Linked DNA regions of Saccharomyces cerevisiae S288C. The protein of the gene in region 1 purifies or fractionates together with the protein of each later gene. This does not show direct contact. Each region holds a gene or a part of one and is shown in the gene's direction. Other genes may lie near its edges.

What was found.
Region 2: the proteins of MAK5 (region 1) and YTM1 purify together in Saccharomyces cerevisiae (affinity purification with mass spectrometry; 5 studies listed by BioGRID). This does not show direct contact.
Region 3: the proteins of MAK5 (region 1) and NOP2 purify together in Saccharomyces cerevisiae (affinity purification with mass spectrometry; 4 studies listed by BioGRID, with this or other methods). This does not show direct contact.
Region 4: the proteins of MAK5 (region 1) and MAK21 purify together in Saccharomyces cerevisiae (affinity purification with mass spectrometry; 5 studies listed by BioGRID). This does not show direct contact.

The regions. Positions count from the first base shown.
Region 1 is NC_001134.8:525,861-531,966, forward strand, and holds MAK5 (ATP-dependent RNA helicase), read left to right. Parts: upstream 1-2,456; coding exon 2,457-4,778; downstream 4,779-6,106. Other genes in the region: GTPase-activating protein IRA1, read right to left, coding at 1-768; BMT2 (25S rRNA (adenine2142-N1)-methyltransferase), read right to left, coding at 1,165-2,178; SUP45 (translation termination factor eRF1), read right to left, coding at 5,009-6,106. UniProt on the Saccharomyces cerevisiae protein: ATP-binding RNA helicase involved in the biogenesis of 60S ribosomal subunits and is required for the normal formation of 25S and 5.8S rRNAs. Required for the maintenance of dsRNA killer plasmid.
Region 2 is NC_001147.6:830,783-836,019, forward strand, and holds YTM1 (Ytm1p), read left to right. Parts: upstream 1-2,030; coding exon 2,031-3,413; downstream 3,414-5,237. Other genes in the region: FSF1 (Fsf1p), read right to left, coding at 277-1,260; TPO4 (Tpo4p), read right to left, coding at 3,670-5,237. UniProt on the Saccharomyces cerevisiae protein: Component of the NOP7 complex, which is required for maturation of the 25S and 5.8S ribosomal RNAs and formation of the 60S ribosome.
Region 3 is NC_001146.8:508,858-512,896, forward strand, and holds NOP2 (rRNA (cytosine-C5-)-methyltransferase NOP2), read left to right. Parts: upstream 1-1,682; coding exon 1,683-3,539; downstream 3,540-4,039. Other genes in the region: tRNA 1-methyladenosine methyltransferase subunit GCD10, read right to left, coding at 1-1,355; actin-related protein ARP5, read right to left, coding at 3,811-4,039. UniProt on the Saccharomyces cerevisiae protein: S-adenosyl-L-methionine-dependent methyltransferase that specifically methylates the C(5) position of cytosine 2870 (m5C2870) in 25S rRNA. Required for 60S ribosomal subunit synthesis and processing.
Region 4 is NC_001136.10:568,459-575,123, forward strand, and holds MAK21 (RNA-binding ribosome biosynthesis protein MAK21), read left to right. Parts: upstream 1-2,190; coding exon 2,191-5,268; downstream 5,269-6,665. Other genes in the region: TGL2 (triglyceride lipase), read right to left, coding at 1-245; E2 ubiquitin-conjugating protein UBC5, read right to left, coding at 776-1,175, 1,266-1,312; YDR061W (uncharacterized protein), read left to right, coding at 5,706-6,665.

The DNA.
Region 1 (6,106 bases):
GTGGTTTACTACGCCCAATTCGGTTGAGGTGTGTGATATCAATAAAGGTGCAACAACTTTTGTTTTGACACACTTTGTGAATTCAACATGATTGGAAGCAGATATGAATCTCTGGATATAATCTATTGTTAAATCTATTTTCTCGGTATATGCTGGATAGTTTCTCTTTTGTAAAAATTCCTGTGAATCGGGTAAAATACTCGATTTTGAGATAGTAGCGCTGCCAGAAAGATGGTGAGACATGTTCTGTAAAACCTTTAAAGTTCTTGTATTGAACTTCAGCTTAGAAATTTTACATAGTAACATCGTCGCCAAAGCTGGATTGATTCTCGTGTGCTTTGGCCTAGATGTATGGAAGTTTGGCCTGTGACTTGAAAATCCCGGTTTGTAATTATCGTTTCTAATTTTCTTGAAGTCATTGTTTTGATCCCAGTAATACTCAAAAACATCACTCAGTAATCTCAAAAGAACCAATATAGAATGGGCAATATCATCTGTAATATTGTCAGACGTAATTTCTTCATCTTGCACAATCAAGTCAATTAAACCTAATGTGTTTTCGATAATCGGGTTCAAGTCCTTAGTGATGGCTATATTCAAAATGATGGACCGACACGAATTGAAAACTGAATCTGCCTCCACATCAGCATATGTTTTCAAATTAGATTCTATGGGAAGAACAAGTAGAAGCCTATCAAAAAAAAGATGCTTGGTCAAAGAGTATTCCATTGGGAAATTTTTTTTGTCTTGCGGATCGCTTTGATTCATTTTAGAAAGAGCCTTAATCTTGTTGTATGTTATATGCTGAAGAAGAATGTTAAGTTTGAAGCTCTATTTGCAGGGCAAAAGATGATCACTTGACTTTATACGCTTTCGTTAAATAGCTTAACCACGCGCTGAAAACTACTATGAGCCCAATGCCAATAAAATGATCAAAGGCGTAAATGAAACCGGTACTGTGTAATAAGCGGAAAAAAAAAAAACAGTTAATTGTTTCAATCGTAATACAAAGCGAAAACCTTTAGTATATTAGTTTTATATGAGCAGTAACTCTTGTTATTCTCCTTCGAACACTGTTCATTTGCTCATCTTTTACTTAACGTTTTTACACATCTTTCTATATTGTATCCCTTTATGAAAAACTTCCAGGCGGTGTCGGCTCGCTTAGAGGGTAATACCAAAATTGTTCAACCCAGGGCCGTCGTTAACCTTGATTCTTTTGGAAAAGCTACTCGGCTGCGGTGGAACTACCTGCAATTGATACAAACAATAGTACAACTTATTACTTTGATGGCTATTAAGCATTATGAGCCCGATAGAGCCGAGGAGGTTTTGTAACAGTGTTTTGTCGCAGTATCTTGAGTGCGTCACACAGGCTTGTGGCAGAACAATAAAGATGTAGCCTTGCGGCTTGAGAAATTTGACCATGCGATGGCACATTGCACCGCGATCCCTGTGATTTTTGACAAAATTTAGCACTAGAGAGCATGATATCAGGTCGAATTTGTCGTTTTCATTTCTCGGTAGCGGTCTTTCCATAAAATCCTGCTTAATAACGCCTTCATGTTCCTCTAAATCTATACGAACCACATTTCTAAAAAGTGCACAACGGGATATGCGATTTCCGGAGCTCAATGAACCAATTTCTAATGCCACTGCTCCAGGACAATTTTCAAATGAGGACCTGATCCATTTCTCGAGCAACTTGGACGTGTCTCCTCCTCGTTCCTTCAATTGCCCGTTTTGACTGGCAATTTGGTAAGTTTCTAGTCCTCCCAATTTATTAATCTGATTCATTATGTAACCAAGTAATGTGTACATCACAGCCAAGTCAGAAGTATCCTTTGATTTGGATTCATTTTTAATTAATGAGTGCAGCCTCAGTAGTTGTGATTCCATAGCATCATTGAAGGACTGCGATTTGCCGTCTTCATAGTACTTGCCCAGTCTTACATTACCTTTAATACTTAACCTGATAATTTTGTCATTCTTCTCCTCGTTGGAATCATCTAGGTTTTCCTTAAGGCATAAAAACTTGCATATCGATTGACGCTTATTAATTAAATGGTGGAATCTTCTTATTATCCTTCTTGTCTTCTGTGGCTTGATTACTCTCGTCACGTTACTTCCTACTTGCTTCCTCTTGCCCGTAATACTCTTCGACTTTCTTGAATGCATTCCGCTGTATTAGTGGTATCGCTAAGCTGATACAAGATTGCCATCAAGGTCATGGCTAGCTCATCGATATTATAATTGTTATATTTTTTTTCACCTCACAAACCCGCCTCAAGGTTAGTTAGTCCGTACTTTTCTTTTTCTCTGAAAAACTTTTCCAGCGATGAGCTTATAAGAATTTCCATCTAAAAAAGTTATATTCGCCAACCTGCCCATCATTATCATCATAACCTCAGGTAGAAATTCTTTAGTCAAATACCGGCATAATCAGTTTTTCCATCATGGGTAAGAAAAGGGCTCCTCAAAAAGGAAAAACGGTCACAAAGCCACAGGAGATAATTGTAGATGAATCCAAATTGAACTGGAAACCAGTAGATATTCCGGACACTTTAGATGACTTTGGTGGATTTTATGGCTTGGAAGAAATTGACGGAGTGGACGTTAAAGTCGTGGATGGTAAAGTAACTTTCGTCACCAAAAAAGATTCAAAAGTGTTAAAAGATAGCAATAAGGAAAAAGTCGGAGATGATCAGGAATCTGTGGAAAATGAATCAGGGTCAGATTCGGAGTCCGAGCTCCTTGAATTCAAGAACTTGGACGATATTAAAGAAGGAGAGTTGAGTGCAGCATCTTATTCATCATCCGACGAGGATGAGCAAGGTAATATTGAGAGTTCAAAGTTAACCGATCCCAGTGAGGATGTGGATGAGGATGTGGATGAGGATGTTTTGAAAGAAAACGTCTTTAACAAAGACATTAATATCGATGATATTTCTCCTGTAAATTTACCTGAATGGACGAATCTTGCACCTCTCTCAATGACTATTTTGCAGAGCTTGCAGAATTTAAATTTTCTCAGACCTACAGAAATTCAAAAAAAGTCTATTCCAGTTATTATGCAAGGCGTAGACGTCATGGGGAAAGCCTCTACAGGTTCAGGTAAAACTTTAGCCTATGGTATTCCAATTGTAGAGAAACTGATCAGTAACTTCTCTCAGAAAAACAAGAAACCAATATCGTTAATCTTTACTCCTACAAGAGAACTGGCGCATCAAGTCACAGACCACTTAAAAAAGATCTGTGAGCCTGTTCTAGCGAAATCTCAGTACTCGATATTATCTTTGACAGGTGGACTCTCTATCCAAAAACAACAACGTCTATTAAAGTACGATAATAGTGGCCAAATTGTCATCGCAACACCAGGTAGATTTTTGGAACTGTTGGAAAAAGACAACACTTTAATCAAAAGATTCTCGAAAGTAAATACGCTAATCCTTGATGAGGCTGATAGGCTGTTACAAGACGGTCATTTCGACGAGTTCGAAAAAATCATTAAACATTTATTAGTAGAAAGAAGGAAAAACAGAGAAAACTCCGAGGGCAGTAGCAAAATTTGGCAAACTTTGATCTTTTCTGCAACATTCTCCATCGACTTGTTTGATAAGCTATCTTCTTCCCGTCAAGTTAAGGATAGAAGGTTTAAAAACAACGAAGATGAGCTAAATGCCGTAATACAACACTTAATGAGCAAAATTCACTTCAACTCAAAGCCGGTTATAATAGATACAAATCCTGAGTCAAAAGTGAGCTCTCAAATCAAAGAATCCTTAATTGAATGTCCTCCATTAGAACGTGACCTATACTGCTATTACTTTTTAACCATGTTCCCAGGTACAACTTTGATCTTTTGTAATGCCATTGACTCCGTGAAGAAATTGACCGTATACTTAAATAACCTAGGCATCCCAGCTTTTCAAATTCATTCTTCCATGACACAAAAGAACCGTTTGAAAAGCTTAGAAAGGTTCAAGCAACAAAGCGCTAAACAGAAAACAATAAATCATTCGAATCCGGATTCCGTTCAACTCTCAACAGTATTGATTGCAAGTGATGTTGCTGCTAGAGGTTTAGATATTCCGGGTGTTCAACACGTTATTCATTACCACTTACCAAGATCTACTGATATTTATATTCATAGATCAGGCAGAACTGCAAGAGCAGGTTCTGAAGGTGTCTCTGCCATGATATGCTCACCTCAAGAATCTATGGGCCCATTAAGAAAGTTAAGAAAAACTCTCGCTACAAAAAATAGTGTTTCGACGGATTTGAACTCTAGATCAACTAACAGAAAACCCATCAAGTGGCAAAACACTGTGCCTTTGTTACCAATTGAAACCGATATACTTTCACAACTCAGAGAAAGAAGTAGATTAGCAGGCGAACTGGCTGATCATGAAATTGCTTCTAATTCCCTAAGAAAAGATGACAATTGGTTAAAAAAGGCTGCTGATGAATTAGGTATTGACGTTGATTCCGACGAAGACGATATATCAAAGAGTAATTCGGACACTTTCTTACTAAAAAATAAAAATAAAAAAATGCAGAAGACTATAAATAAGGACAAGGTAAAAGCCATGAGAGCTACGTTGAACGAATTGTTATCAGTGCCTATACGTAAAGATAGAAGACAGAAATATTTGACAGGTGGGCTAGTGAATTTAGCTGATAACTTGGTCAAAAAAAGAGGTCATAATTCTATCATTGGTCATGAAAAGACAAACGCCTTAGAAACTTTGAAGAAAAAGAAAAAGAGAAATAATTAATCTCGAGGCTTTTGAAGAGAAACTCTCCTTTCACTGTATTTTCTACGTAATATACACGGTCCTCTAAACCCACTATGTACTTTCAACAAAGGAATTAGCTCAATATAGAGCAAAAGGTTTACCAAGTATATATTATATTGTACAAAAAATTAAAAGCGAATTTAATTTAAATCTGGCATCTAGTGATTAAATTCTTTTTGATTCGATTTTTTTCTCCCCCTTTTATTTATTTAAATGAAATCATAGTCGGATCCTTCATCTTCGTCATAATATTCATCCTCAGATTCATCAACTAGTTGTTCAAAATTAACTTTGTAACGCAGCATGGCACCAATACCACCAAAACCTGTGACAAATTGGGCACCTTCTGAAGATTTGTCTGTGATGAATTCCAAGGTAGCACCGAAGTTTTTGTAGTTAGCTGCTAGCCATTCAATTAAAGGTTCTTCGGAGACAACGTCCATTTCTTGGCCGGTAGCTTTGTCAATAGCAAACGACTTGTCCTTGGCTTCTGGTTCAGCGAATTTTATAACCTCATTATCCTCGGCATCTTTAAATGTATATCTGATAGTTTCCAAATTTTCGAAAACAATTAATTTTTCGACTGCACCTAAATCCAATGCCTTTAAAGTATCATCTATACCATAACAGAATTTACCAGTGTCCTGGGAAATTTCGTCAAAATATGCCTCCAATAATTTCTTTTCTTGAACATACTTGACATTGGCCAACGCTTCGGCAGAAAGTTCGATAGCCTGGTTGAAACCGTTTTCACCACCATAAGAAACATCCACGATGGAAATAACCTTACATGCTAGTCTTGGATCGAATAATTCAGATTTAGCCAAATCGGTCTTAAAGTCAGCAGAACCAGCTAAAATTAAACCCTTAACATTGACTTTGTCATTAGTAATAAAATTTTGAACAGCAACTTCGGCGACCTTTCTCACATAATTATGTCTTTTTTCTTCTCTTAAACGAGCAAAACGAAGCGCAGATTGACCACCTCTACCATGCTTTTTTGGCAGATCGACAGTAAATTTATGTAAAACAGTTCTCGTATTACCGGACACAGAACCAAACAAAGTACCTTGACCGTCCATGACTATAAAACCGAACTTGTCGTCAGCTTGAAGCAATTCCGAAAGAACTTCTGTATGAAATTTGTTATCACACAAATATAAGGATGTGTTGATAGGTTTGTAAGGTTCGATGTCAAAAGTGACCTTTTTTTCTTTACCATCTTCAGTGATGATATCACCACAATATAAAACTAAACCGTTCTTGGGCAAAGTATTATATAGCTTCAACTTTTGTTGGGTGGAAGT
Region 2 (5,237 bases), on another chromosome or scaffold:
CTCAAGAAAAAAGGTTTTCCATATCGACTTATCTGAGTTTCTTTTTTTTGCTTTTTTTTTTTTTAGCCCATTTTTTTTTTGACGCATTAGTCGTTAATGATGATATAATGTCCACGTGATGACATTTCAATCTGCAACAATAGCTCGGCAACTGGATTACTAGCAGTCATACGTATGTCAGTCACTACACATATATATATATTAATGTTTAACTAATTTTTTTTTCTTATCTATCTGATATTTATTCTATAACTATATAAATTTGTCTCTTCACTTCTAAATACCTCTGTTAAAATAGACCTTTTCAATTGGCTTCCCATCCTTATCCTTCTTGCCATGTAGTTCAGGTTCTAGTTTATTTAAATGGATTGCTTGTCTTTGAGGGAAGATACCGAGTGCAAATGGCAAAGCTGAGAACATTGTGACTGAGATCAACCCCAAATTGGCCAAAGTTTGCACACCGAGAGACTTACCTTTGAGGACACCGCGTTGTAGTCTAACCAAAATCAAAGGTGGGATGACCATAGTTGGAGTGGCGTTAATCACTCTACTTAATGCAGTTTCACCAACTGCCATGAAGGCAGCCTTCTTGGACTTTCCGACTTCGTCACCGTTAGAGTCAAACACAGAAATACCCTTTCTAATTTCGTTGCCTCTCATTAGGAAGACGTTGACAATACCGGCACTGACCACGGCGGCAAATGGCACCAAACGGCCCAAGATCAACTTTGAATGTGGAGAAATGTTTTTCAACCTGGGAACTAGGTTATTTAGACCTAACGCAACACCACACGACGCAGTTACAGCGGCAGCGTAATTGGTGAGCAATTGGGACGTGGACATAGGATGAGATTTGTTTGCGTTAGCGGAATTAACGGCGACGTTTAGCGATTGATTTGCCCATTGCCAAAATACAGTCCCTGCCGTACCCAAACCAGGCGTCAGCATACCTACAGTAACGACTAGGTTTGATAGCACGTTGGAAGACATACGGAAGGGCAAAAGAACTGTCTTCCCTGTGTCCGGATGCACGGTGGAGTCCAGTTGTTTCTTGGCTCGCCAGAACTCCGGAGTAGTCTCTTTTAGTTCACCGTGACGATACGCACTGATGATTTCTCTAGCATGCGCCAGGTCCTTCTCAGTAGTTAACAACATAGTGGGGTCGGAAATCTCTGCGCAATGGCGGATTCTACCCCAATACGTGGATAAGTCATAGCGGGATTCGGGCAAATCGATGGGCCCTGGGACTGATGATGCCATATTTCTCTGCCTTGTTTATTTTTTTCTTTCGATGCTGTGTGGTTTTATTATTGCTAACTTGCAGTGGTCGACGCCTTTGAAAACTGTAAAGCTGATGCGAAGACCTAACAGTCTCTTATCCAATTACCTCAATCTGGTACGCTCCGGTACCGGACGCCAGTACGAAAGAAAAACTTTTCGTTCGTCTCGGGCACCATTGGTATAAAAAGCGCCGAGGCAGCGATCATTTTTCTAGTATTACTCTTCTTTCATTTTTTAGTTATCTTTGATTTTCGGTTCCGAAGAAGGCATGATACATATTAAACATGCCTTCTATTCACTGTGCCATCTTACATCCGTAGGTGATCAGAGGGGAAAAGAAGAGCTAGAGCAACTCCCACACTCATGAGCGTCCTCATACTGTTCTGGGCGCTTCTCACAGGTGCTTCTTTTAGTGTCTCCCATTGGCCCAGATCGGTAGCTGCGCGAGTGAGATATCTTTCATTCATTTATATTTATCTGTAGCAATAGCTTCCTTTACTATTTTATTCTTAGGGAGAACTTTAGCTTATTTCTTGCACAAGAGGGTTTGACAGTTTTCTGTTACCCGGCCAGTACTTCAAAAATTTTTCAAAAATTTTCTGAAGTGCTCATCTCATCGCAAACCGTAGGAGCAGTGAAAGGCATATGCTCATCTGTATAATTGCAAAAAGACATATTCTATGTTCGCAGAACCAATACGTTACCTAAAGTTTTAAAGACAATACCAAGGGAAACTGCACAAATTCAATATGACAGAAGATAAATCGCAGGTTAAAATCAGGTTTTTCACGCGTGAGAAAGATGAATTACTACATGTACAAGATACTCCAATGTACGCCCCCATCTCATTAAAGAGATATGGGTTGTCCGAAATTGTCAATCACTTGTTGGGCTCGGAAAAGCCTGTTCCTTTCGATTTCTTGATTGAAGGTGAATTGTTACGTACTTCATTGCACGACTATTTGACCAAGAAAGGTTTATCGAGCGAAGCCTCGCTGAATGTAGAATATACCAGGGCAATTCTTCCACCATCCTATTTGAATAGTTTCAGCAATGAGGACTGGGTTAGCTCATTGGATGTCGGCGACGGTTCCAAGCATATTATTAGTGGTTCTTACGATGGTATAGTTCGCACCTGGGATTTATCAGGTAATGTGCAAAAGCAGTACAGTGGTCATTCTGGCCCAATCCGTGCAGTAAAATACATTTCCAATACAAGGCTAGTTTCGGCTGGTAACGACCGTACTTTGAGATTATGGAAAACCAAAAACGATGATTTGAAATTAACTTCACAACAACAGGCACAGGAAGACGATGATGACGAAGTAAACATAGAGGACGGTAAGACACTGGCTATCTTGGAAGGTCATAAGGCACCAGTAGTCTCTATTGATGTTTCAGACAACTCAAGAATATTATCTGCATCATACGACAATTCTATTGGGTTCTGGTCTACTATTTATAAGGAAATGACAGTTGTTGATCCATTAGAAGATATAAACAATCCAAACAATAAAATATCCACTGCTGCTAGAAAAAGGAGAAAATTGACAATGAAAGATGGTACCATTAGAAGACGTGCCCCTCTGTCTCTGTTAGAATCCCATACAGCTCCTGTTGAGCAAGTGATCTTCGATTCTACAGATAATACCGTTGGTTATTCAGTATCACAAGATCATACCATCAAGACATGGGATTTGGTCACCGCGAGATGTATAGATACAAGAACAACATCGTACTCGTTGCTTTCCATTGCTCAATTGTCGACTTTGAACTTGTTAGCATGTGGGTCCAGCGCCAGACACATCACATTGCATGACCCACGTGTGGGAGCGTCTTCCAAAGTTACTCAGCAACAACTAATTGGTCATAAGAACTTCGTTTCCTCTCTGGACACTTGTCCCGAGAATGAGTATATATTATGCTCGGGTTCTCACGATGGTACCGTGAAGGTATGGGACGTCAGGTCTACTTCTCCGATGTACACCATAACAAGAGAAGACAAATCGGTCCAAAAGGGCGTCAATGACAAAGTTTTTGCTGTCAAATGGGCTGAAAAAGTGGGTATTATCAGCGCTGGTCAAGACAAAAAGATTCAAATAAATAAAGGAGACAACATTTTCAAAAACTGAGAAAAAACTGTTGTTGTTTTTATGTAGAATAATGTACTGATATACTTGAAATAAATTTGGTTTTGCCAACAGCTTTCGCAAATTTCTGTCACCTTCTTCTTTATGTAAAACGACATTACTTGCTAAAAAAAAAAATACTTCTATGATAATGTGTACTTGTATGAAACTTCTATAAATTTAAATTGGTGAATTTTATCCAGCTATCCCCCAATTTACTATTTGAATATATGCAATTGTGATCTGTCTTAAGACCTTTTCAAACCATTCTGGCGGAAGCATCGGTGGCCATTTCCGTATACGAATAACCGTCTTCATTATCCTTGATAGCTGAGTATAAACTATTGGAAATGGGTTCATTACGATTTTGCGCATGTTGCCCGTCCTCGCGATCAAACGAGGCAGGAACGGGCTGCGTATGGGTCCTGCGCAGAGATAGCCTTTCACCTGGTTTTTCTCTAGTCGAAGGGTCTGTTTCCATGGTCCTTAACGTGGTCATCCTTGTTAGATTCAATTCACCATCGACAGCATTTACGTCATCTATACCACCTTCGGTCTCAGCCTCCTTTTCCATGGCGGCATAACCAAATTGTGACTTGTGTCTTAATTTGCTCCCCCATTTTTCAAAAACCCATGGAATTGGAATCATCACAACGCAAACTAATGCAAATAAAGTGCTTGCCCATTTGATTTTCATCTTTGTGTACATTTGGATGGTAAACAATGGGAATACACTACTCATAACGTATCTTAATAGATTATTGGCAGCCAAACAGGATGCCACAGTTAATGGCGGATAGCATGTAGAGAAGTACATTAAAACGCTGAAAAAAATCAAAATTAAACCAAAACCAAATGGCACACCGGCAGCCACAGGAGCCATCCAGTGGACATCTGATCTAGCAGTCCAGGCTTGCCAAAACAGGCCGATAGGCAAAGCTACAGAACCAAATTTACAGGCAATTAAAAATTTTTCTGGAACAACGGGTAGCAATTCACCTGTTTCAGCGTCTCTTGCACCTCTGTAAGGGGTAGTCCTTTTAGAAGTTCTCTCTTTTTCGGTGAGTGGTTGAGTGCCAGCTGGTGGTTTAGGGAAGAGATATTTTCTGTCGATGTAAAGGTAAAAGAAAGCACCTATCCATAACCCGACACCAATACCAATAAATGGCAAGCCAGATATCCCCATAGACATGTGGTAAACACCACGATAAATGACAGCGTATGCTTCGAAAAATCCAAATAAAATGGCGAATATGAAAGCGACATAAACACTGAAAACAAATACAATAGGTTCAACGACAAGCATTTTTAAAGGCCTTAAGATTGTAATAGTGACAGTGGTTTTTAAAAATTCTTTCTGAGCTTCCCTGCTGAACTTCTTCAAGGCTATATTTCTCTTCTTGGCACGCTTTCTTAAAATAATACCTTTATGGGTCTCTGGCATGAGCGCAATAAATGGCAAGATTAGACCGCCCGCAATCAATTGGATCCATTCAGACCAACGCCAGCCTTTGGCTTCAGTAGCAAATCCTGCCATAATAGGAGATAAAACTGGCCCTAAGAATGGAGATAGAACAAAGTATGTCATTGCGACGGAGACCTGGTCCACGTCAAAGATATCCAGGATGGTACCTGATCCAACGGATAAGGCGGGGGATGCAAAGACACCTGATAAAAACCTTAGGGGTAGAATTATTCTCATGTGGCCATTGGATAACCCAACACCCATGGTGAAAAGCATTGACACAGGTAGGGAAAATAAATAGACAGGCTTACGACCAAACACTTCACTTAATGGAGCGCCGATGACAGTCGATAAACCCAGAA
Region 3 (4,039 bases), on another chromosome or scaffold:
GGAGCAGGGATGACTCTGTGACACCACATTAGATATCCACCACCACCTTTCATGGTCATCAGAGGGTGTAGCTTACCCCTTATACTTTGGTACGGCCTACATCTAGTTTCCAAAATTGATGGTGCTAAAAACCTGAGGTCTGAATATAAAGTATGAGCTAATTCCAACAAAGTTTCTTTGAATTGACCATAGCATACAATCGGCCTTGAACCATGGATTTTTTCGGCCAACTTTGGCACTAGTGTTGGTAAATGTAGTGTAGTAGCCATTACAAGACCGTCATATAGGAATTCTCCTGTTAGTTCTAAAATTTGCCATTGTGTATTGTACCATCTGAGTTTTCGGTAGTACGAGTTTTTCTTACCACCTTTTAATGCACGGGCTTCTTCTTTAGGTAATGGTGTAAATCTGCTCTGAATCTCTTGTAGTGTAGGCGGTTCAAAAAAATCTAATAGAGAAATGGTGTGTACATGCTCTTTAATAAATTTCTCAGAATAATTAGCAAACTTCAGCAAATCCAAGTTGGCATGTTCATTTTCGTGAATAACTATGACTTTGCCCTTGGATTTGCTTTCATTGTCACCGCCAAACATTCTTTCCAACAGAAAGTAAACCAATAACCCACCCGTTTCATCCATACAGAGATAGTTGCCTTCTGATTGGATGTTCGCAAGATTTAACAGCATCCCCATCGATTCCTGAGACATATCCAATACCCTTTGGATATCGCCTTTGTCGATTAAGAATTGTAAAAGGTTAGAGCTACTTAAATACTCAACGGTGAAGTACTTGGCGAATTTTTGTTTCTTCCTATTCACATATTTCTCTTGAGAATATACGGTCTTGTTGTGAAAACTTTTGTGAGATTTGATAATTTTGTCGATTATTTCTTTACTAGATAAAGATTCTTGTTTCATTTTTTCAATTTCTTCAACGGTTAACTCTTGGGCCTTGCTGCCCATGTTAACCAGATTCTGATTCGTAGCACTGCTGTCAATGCTAGACAATTCAAGAGACACAGATTTTTCCTTAATAGATAAAGGAGGCTCGCTTTGACCATCGTCTTTATCATTATTGACATCTTTGATCTCCTGCGATAATAGCCTTACTTTCCCGATGGGAATTTTGTTCTTTGGTTTCGAATCTCTATTTTCATCGGATGAAACCTCTTCGCCATCATAATATATCTCGAAAGTCAACCCGAAAGGATAACCAATTATGTCATTAACCTCGAAAGCACCGAATTTTCCTAATGATACAGAGGTGTTGGGCTTTAGTTCCACTATCTTGTAATTTTTTGATGGCAGCCGGACGATAACGTGCTGATTAAAATCTATGGTTGTCAAAGCATTCATTGTGCACTAAATTCAAAGTTTTTTTGTCCAATTCGTTTGCAACAATGTGAGTAGGATCCAACGTGCCAAAGAATTTAAAGTTGAATATTATTATTGTTATTATACACCTCATCGACTTTTTTTTTTTTTTTGATGAAATTTTTCAGATTTTACAAAACCGTTACCCAGTTTCACGTTTTCTGAAAAAAATTTTCATCTCATCGCAGAATAAGTTTAAGATGAGCTGAGCTGCAAATACAGTTGTCGCTAAGGTATATAGATTTGTAATTCTGGCGGAATTCCCCTTGTGTTGGCTAATATTAGAATTACATATACATATAATAGGAAATGGGTAGTAGACGTCATAAGAACAAGCAAGCCGCCCCACCAACCCTGGAGGAGTTTCAGGCAAGAAAGGAAAAGAAGGCTAATAGAAAGCTAGAAAAAGGAAAGAGACCTTCTACCACGCAAGGGGATGAAGTTTCTGATAGAAAGAAAAAGAAGTCGAAGCCATTCAAGAAATCTAGAAAAGAGGAGGAAGAAGTTGTTGAAGAGGATAAGGATTTGCCAGAAGTTGATCTTGAAGAATTATCAAAAGCCAGGAAATCTTTATTTGATGATGAAGAAGATGACGATGAAGCAGGATTGGTGGATGAAGAACTAAAAGATGAATTTGACTTGGAACAAGAATATGATTACGATGAAGATGAAGATAATGACGCCCACCCAATTTTTTCAGATGACGACGATGAGGCTGATCTTGAAGAACTAAATGCACAAAACATGGAAGCTCTTTCTAAGAAACTTGATGAAGAAGAAGCTGAAGAAGCTGAAGAAGCCGAAATGGAGTTAGTGGAAGCGGAGAACATGCAACCAAGAGCAGACATATTGCCCACTGAGGAGCAGGAAGAAATGATGGCACAAGAAACTCCTAATTTAACTTCCACAAGAACAAGAATGATTGAAATTGTAAAGGTTTTGGAAAATTTTAAGACTCTTGGTGCAGAAGGCAGATCGAGAGGAGAATACGTTGACAGACTTTTGAAAGATATTTGTGAGTACTTTGGTTATACACCATTTTTGGCGGAAAAGTTATTCAATCTATTCTCACCAGCAGAGGCGATGGAGTTTTTCGAAGCCAATGAAATTGCAAGACCAATAACCATCAGAACCAACACCTTGAAGACCAGAAGGAGAGACTTAGCTCAAACTCTTGTGAATAGAGGTGTTAATCTACAACCTATTGGTTCTTGGACTAAAGTTGGTCTTCAAATATTCGATTCCCAAGTCCCAATTGGTGCTACGCCAGAATATTTGGCAGGTCACTATATTTTACAAGCGGCATCATCTTTTCTACCAGTTATTGCTCTAGATCCTCATGAAAATGAGCGTATCTTGGATATGGCAGCTGCTCCAGGTGGTAAGACCACTTATATATCAGCTATGATGAAAAACACAGGTTGTGTTTTCGCTAACGACGCCAATAAATCTAGAACAAAATCTTTAATTGCTAATATCCACCGTCTAGGCTGTACCAACACTATTGTATGCAATTACGATGCCCGTGAGTTCCCTAAGGTAATTGGAGGTTTTGACAGAATTTTACTGGATGCCCCATGTTCCGGTACTGGTGTTATCGGTAAGGATCAATCTGTCAAGGTGTCTCGTACCGAGAAGGACTTCATTCAAATTCCACATCTACAAAAACAATTGCTTCTATCCGCCATTGATTCTGTTGATTGCAACTCGAAACATGGTGGTGTAATAGTATATTCGACATGTTCTGTTGCAGTGGAAGAGGACGAAGCTGTCATAGACTATGCATTGAGAAAAAGACCGAATGTCAAGTTAGTCGATACTGGTTTAGCGATCGGTAAAGAAGCGTTTACTAGTTACAGAGGCAAAAAGTTTCATCCTAGTGTGAAATTAGCGAGGAGGTACTATCCACATACGTACAACGTCGATGGGTTCTTTGTCGCTAAATTCCAAAAGATCGGTCCATCTTCGTTTGATGATAACCAAGCAAGTGCAAAAGAAAAGGAAACTGCTGCTAGAAAGGAAGCTTTGGAAGAAGGTATCATTCACTCTGACTTCGCAACCTTCGAGGACGAAGAAGACGATAAGTACATTGAAAAGTCTGTGAAAAACAATCTTTTGAAAAAGGGTGTCAATCCAAAAGCTAAAAGACCTTCTAACGAAAAATAAGTTCCCACAAACGTAGTGGCATCATGTTAGCATAGTTTTCTCTCTCTAATCTTTCTCTGTCTACATATATATATATATATATATATATCAATTTCAAATATGTCTCACTGTATATTAAATTCAAAATAGAAATAATAAAGCCGATTTGTAAACAGCACTAAGAAAAAAGGCGATGATATTACTTATTAATATTCGTTGCCAATATAGTATTACATATATCTCTATTTATTTCTCTTTTTTTGTTTTTAAGGCGTTTCAGTTTGCTGTCTCCTTAGTCTTCAAAATACTTCGTATTCCCTAACTTATGCTCTTTGATGTACTCTGGACCGTACTCTTCGTATTCTTTCTTACTGATAACTGTTTTCCTATACTGTTCTTCGTTTCGTGCTAGAGCTGCCATACCCTTCCAGGCATCCAATGAAGGATCTGAAGACATATTTACAGTGATATTGGTACCGGTAGGAAGGAATCCAGTGAATTCCTTCACAATACGTTCTTTC
Region 4 (6,665 bases), on another chromosome or scaffold:
TCCAACAAATTTGTGTACTTGTTATCACTCTTATCTTCGTCATCCTGCATGAAATTTTCTGCCATATTATGTACTATTGAATTGGAAATTAGGTTTGTCAGATGGAATACAGAAGGGATTAGAATTAATTTGTCAAATCCTGATAAACCATGGCAAAATACAATAGGATTTTTTGGGGGCTTGTACGAATCAGGAACTTTGACGGAGTCTATTATTATATCATTAGCTTTATTATCATTTTTCATTTTTTTTATGCTTTTCCTCCTTTAAAACAAGACGCTTTATTCTCTATATTCTTCCTTGTACATATTTTCAATAGCGGTTCATATTAGGCTCATTATGAGAAAAGGTTGGTGAGAAATTTAGCATATTTTAAACAATCATTTAGCTAGATGAATCAGAATGTTTTTCCGACAAATAGTAGCTCGCGTGGCGTAATGGCAACGCGTCTGACTTCTAATCAGAAGATTATGGGTTCGACCCCCATCGTGAGTGCTTTGTTTCTTCCGTGATAGTTTAATGGTCAGAATGGGCGCTTGTCGCGTGCCAGATCGGGGTTCAATTCCCCGTCGCGGAGAATTTTTTTTAATTGATAGTAGCAGGTACAGGAGAAAGAGTAAATAATAGAAAGCAAGGTACGTGATGGGAATTGATCAAACTAATATCGCTATACCTATAAGAATTTGCGTGTTTGTATACGTAAAGAATATATAATATATTGATGTGTGCGCTGAGGAAGGTAAGTCTACACAATTTATCCGTTAGCCCAAATTAATCAAACAGCATATTTTTTAGTCCACTCCTTAGCGGTGGCTTCATACTTAGCCTTATCTGTCTTGTAGATTTGAGCAATTTCAGGGACCAAAGGATCGTCGGGATTAGCATCTGTTAAAAGAGAGCAAATAGACAACAAAACTTTTGAAAGGGTTAGCGCCGGTGACCACTGGTCCTTTAAAATATCAAGGCAGATATTACCACTCGAATTAATATTCGGATGATAAATTTTGGTCGTAAAGTTTACCTTCGGTGGCTTGAATGGATAATCAGTTGGAAAGTGAATAGACAAAAAGAAAACGCCACCAGCGTAGGGTGAGTCTGAAGGACCCATAATAGAGGCTTGCCAATGATACAGGTCATCCCCTACAGGTCCTGCTGAACATGAAGCAGGAGGATCTCTTCGGAAAAAAGTTCAAAAAAGAAACTCATGTTAGTAATCCTTTTTCTTTACAGATCAAGAAAAATCATTCATTTTATTTTTAACATACCTCCCTAAATCACTTAATTCCTTGGCAATACGCTTGGAGGAAGACATTTTTAGTTTAGTTGAGGGTGGTGAGCAGAAAATGACTTTTCAAGATGGTAGTCAATAAGCAGTCCTGACCTTGGAAAATAAAACTCCAACCATCTATTAAAATCCGGGATACAATTATTTTTTATAATTTTGGGTCGGCTATCTTTGGTACAAATGAGTAAGGCGGCAGCCGCTTTATTACCCGCTCGCAGTGGCAACTACCTCCACCACAGCCATGCTTCAAAAGCGCTTGCTACGAGAGTTTACACCGTACTAGCACTAGCAATACATCTAGATATCTAATTGAATTACGCACAATATAAGAAAAATCGGTTTATGAGCCTAATGAATGAGTACCAAAATAAGTAGGCAAAAAGTACAGCCTCTCATGGAACAATGAACACAACCCTAGTATAATTCATCTGTACTTTGGGACTTTCTGTGTAAGTAAACCAAGACATAATTTAATATATTTGAGAAATCTATCCTTATCCAATTGGTTGTTGCAGATGATTTCATATAAGCAAAAATGTTGGTATAACTTTCACCACATGCAATAGCAGATCTTTTGTATAACGCGTATTGCCCAACATAATCTAAGATCAGATCATTAATAAGAAAATCTCATTTCCAAAACCGATTGGACATATACTGTTTAGTAATAACCGCCGATATGATGTTCTTCCGTTCTCTTGCCTCTGTATTCCGTTACCCGTTGCAGAATGAAAAATTTTTTCTTTTGGCGATGAGGTAAAAAATTATCAGAGATGCCAAAGTAATGGAGTTGCGAATAAGAAAGCATTATGTCGTACACATCGGAAGCGAAATTCTATAGTTTGATAAATTTCTATAGATATTAAACCTCTCCAGTGTCTTTGTTGGTACAGTAATCAAAAATAATGAGTGAGAACAACGGCAATCCGCTGGATTTGTCTTCACTAAGAAATAAGATTTCGTCAAAATTGCGAGACAATAACAGCAAAAAGGCGAAGAAAACCCACAAAGGCAAGGACGTGAAGGCCAGTAGTAATTCAAAGAAGGTAAATGAGGACATACGTCGTGAAGCACTAGCATTGGGTGCCAGCGAAGAAGATCTAAAATTGATTCAAGGATTAAGCGATGATGATGACGCTAAGAGCGAACAGGAATTTGATGCCGTCGCTGACGAGGATGCTGACGACAAGGGATTCAAGAACGATCTTCAAAATTTCATGAAGAATGTAGGATTTGACCAACACAAACTCGAAGATGTAGACGATGACGATATAGAAGAAGAATCCACTAGCTCCAAAGAATCTAAAATACCCGCTCAAGAGAAGGAACATGCACAATCAAACATTGCATCATCGACAATAGAGAAAACCTCCCAAGAGTCAATCGATAATGGCAGTGAACAAGAAGAAAACACAGTAGAAGAGGCTAATCTTAGTTCAGACCAAGAGCCAGAATCAGAATCTGCAGAGAAAGAAAAGAAAGAGGAGAAAGATGGAGGTTTAATTACTCAAACTACTATTATCTCATCTGACAAACTTATTATTCCTTACGATAAACCATGGTATGAAATTCCATTGGATCCTCAAGTTGGACAAAATGATGATGTTGAAGAATTATCCAAGGAACAGATTGAGAAACTTTTTGAAAGAGGTAAGCAAACGCTAGAAGCTGACAACCAAACTTACTATGAGGAGTTTACAAAGGACTCATCGCAGGCCAAGTTCATGTCCCAAATCCTATCGGACGGTACCCTCAACGATAAAATATCTGCCGTAACTTTACTCATTCAAGATTCGCCATTGCATAACACTAAGTCTTTAGAAACTCTGGTTTCATATTGTGGCAAAAAATCGAGAAACTCTGCTTTACAGAGTTTAAACGCTTTGAAGGATTTATTCTTAAATGGTCTTTTGCCCAACAGAAAGCTGAGGTATTTCAAAAATCAACCTGGCTTATCTATGATGCTAAACAAGAAAACTCTTGCAATTTTCTATTTCGAAGATTATTTAAAGAAACTGTTCTTTCGTGTTTTAGAAGTCTTGGAAGTGCTTTCCCACGATCCAATTATTCACGTTAGATTACAAATATTAAATCATGTATTTGATTTATTGACCAACCAACCAGAGCAGGAATTTAATTTATTGAGATTAGGTGTAAATAAAATTGGTGATATTGATTCCAAAGTTTCTTCGAAGGCGTCATATTTACTACTGAAGTTGGAACAAGCTCATCCGAATATGAAATCTATTGTCATTGATGCTATCGTTGATATCGCATTGAGACCGAATGCGGATTATCATACCACTTACTATTCTGTTATTACTTTAAACCAAACCATCTTAAAAAGATCAGAAGACTCTGTTGCTAATAAATTAGTAAAAACATACTTCACTTTGTTTGAAAAATTCTTGATTAATACTGATAAAGACAATACCAATGGCGTTGTTAAGAGTAACTCAAAGTCGTATGAGGAGAAAAGAAAGAAGAACTTTAAAAAGGGTAAACACGGTGGTAAATCTGTAAAAATCGAAAAAACGGAAAATGAAGTTTTAGATGAAAAGAACTCAAAATTATTCAGTGCTTTGTTAACAGGTATCAATCGTGCATTCCCATTCGCTCAGATTCCAGCGTCTGTCTATGAAGTACATATGGAAACTCTTTTCAAAATCACACACTCCTCTAACTTTAACACCTCAATCCAAGCATTAGTTTTGATTAATCAAGTCACCGTCAAAGCAAAGTTGAACAGTGATCGATATTATAGAACATTATACGAAAGTTTATTTGACCCCAGACTGGTGAACTCTTCTAAGCAGGGTATTTACTTGAATTTACTATACAAATCATTAAAACAAGATGCACTCAACGTTGAACGAGTAGAAGCCTTTGTCAAGAGAATTCTTCAAGTTTGTTCTCATTGGTTGAACGTCGGCACCATTACTGGTTTTTTCTTCTTATTAATCCAGTTGGCTAAAACAGTTCCACAAATAAAAAATCTTCTAACCAACACGCCAGTTGATTACGAGTATGAATCTGATGCAGAAGAGGAGCAAGGGGACAAGGACATAAAAAGGAAGGAATACGACGGCCGCAAGCGTGATCCAAAGTTCGCCAATGCTGAAAAATCTTCTTTATGGGAAATCAACAACTTCATCAATCATTTTCATCCTACTGTGAAAACATATGCAAACGCCTATGTGACAGGAGAAACAGAGCAAATAGCTAAACCAGACCTGGGTCTATTTACTCTATCACACTTCCTTGACAGATTTGTCTACAGAAGTGCCAAGCAGACCAATACAGCAAGAGGTACATCTATTATGCAACCTCTGTTTAGTGGCTCACGAGTTAATGACTCTGTCTTAGTTAAGGCATCTGATATTATGCATGACCAGGGTCCCGTGAACACTGAAGACTGGCTAACTAAAAAAGTTGAAGATATCAAACCTGAAGATAAATTCTTTTATCAATATTTCACTACCAAGAAAACCGCTGATGGAAAAGGAAAGAAATCTAACAAAGCATCTAATTTCGATAGTGATGACGAAATGGATGAAAATGAAATTTGGAGTGCTTTGGTTAAATCGAGACCAGATGTTGAAGATGATAGCGACGACAGTGAACTTGACTTCGCTGAAGATGATTTCAGCGATTCAACTAGTGACGATGAACCTAAGCTGGACGCAATTGATGATGAAGATGCTAAAAGTGAAGGCAGCCAAGAAAGCGATCAAGAAGAAGGCCTCGATGAGGATATTTTTTACAGTTTCGATGGAGAACAAGACAATAGTGATAAAAAACGTTCCTTCGCTGAAAGTAGTGAAGAGGACGAGAGCAGCGAAGAAGAAAAAGAAGAAGAAGAAAATAAAGAGGTATCCGCAAAAAGAGCAAAGAAGAAGCAGAGAAAGAATATGCTCAAAAGTCTACCGGTATTTGCATCTGCCGACGATTATGCTCAATATTTAGATCAAGATTCAGACTAGAAAATAATAATACATTAACTAAACACTTCGGTGTTGTAAATTAAATAAGGAAAACAGAATTTTGTACAATAAAAAACGGTCCAATACGAAACCTTGAAGCGAAAGACGCATATCAGAGTTTTGCTGATAACTCTACTTATGTCCGCTTTTCAACATTATTAGAGCGGGAGTAAACGGAAAAAGAGTAATGCGGAAATAGAAACGGATTTTAGCTACAACTATGTCAGTTGAAATCGCCGAGATTGCTGACATCGTGAGACGAAACTAAAAACGATGGAACCACGTGACTCCTATTAGAAATAAATAATCCAGAACTCATTTTTAACCATTTTGTTTATATAGGCACATTTGTAGCGACAATTTTCTGTTAGCTAATTGCAGTAAGCAAAACAAATTTGTGAATACTTGATTAATATTCTGTGAAAGATTTTTTAATTATGAGTACCAATAAGTTCGTTGTACGAATAACGAATGCGCTCTTCAAGTCATCACTGGCTAGCAACAGTCCACCTGTTTACCCTAAGAGGATTAGGCATTTCGAGATTTTACCCAACGAAAAATGGGTTATATGGGGACCTGGAAAGGGCAAGTTCTTGGATGTACTGAATAACAAGTATATTTGTGAGCCCCCATTATCTTTGAGGTTTGGATTTTTGAAGGAAAGTTCGAACATCCTGCCGAGGATAGAGCAAGTGGCCTTCAAAGGGGTTATGCCAACGGCTCATTTAAGTGCTAGATATGAATACTTCAAAGATGACTACGATCAAACCTGCAAACAGTTTATATTTGATAAGGCAAGCGGATCAAATGCTGTTTCATATAAAGTTGAGACGAACAATCGGCAAATAAACATGGAGCTGTACAATGCATTAGTTGAAAATTTAAACCTCTCCAGTTTACAGGATAGGTGGGTAATGGGATTGAGTAATGGACAAATGAGGAGAGCAAGGTTAGCTCGTAGTATACTCAAGGAACCGGATCTACTACTTATTGACGACCCATTTTTAGGGTTGGATCCAGCCGCAATAGCAACCATTTCACAATTTTTAGCCAAATATGATAGTATAGAAGTCAGTGGCGGATGTCCAATCGTCATTGGTTTGAGGTATCAAGATACCATTCCAGCATGGTGTACTCATATATGTTGCGTTGATGAGAAAAACGGTATATTGTTTGAAGGCCCAATCGAAAAACTTCAAAGTAAAATGGATGAAACCAGATCAAGGGCACTAAAAGAACTAGAGCAGCTCAAAAAAGCGTCTAATTCCAAAGAGGACATTTCCATTAACGATTTGATTTGTATACATCCTATGTATGGCAAGAAAGAGCACGAAATTATCAAAATGCCTCATCTTATAGAATTAGACGGGTTGAGCGTTTCATACAAAGGCGAAGCT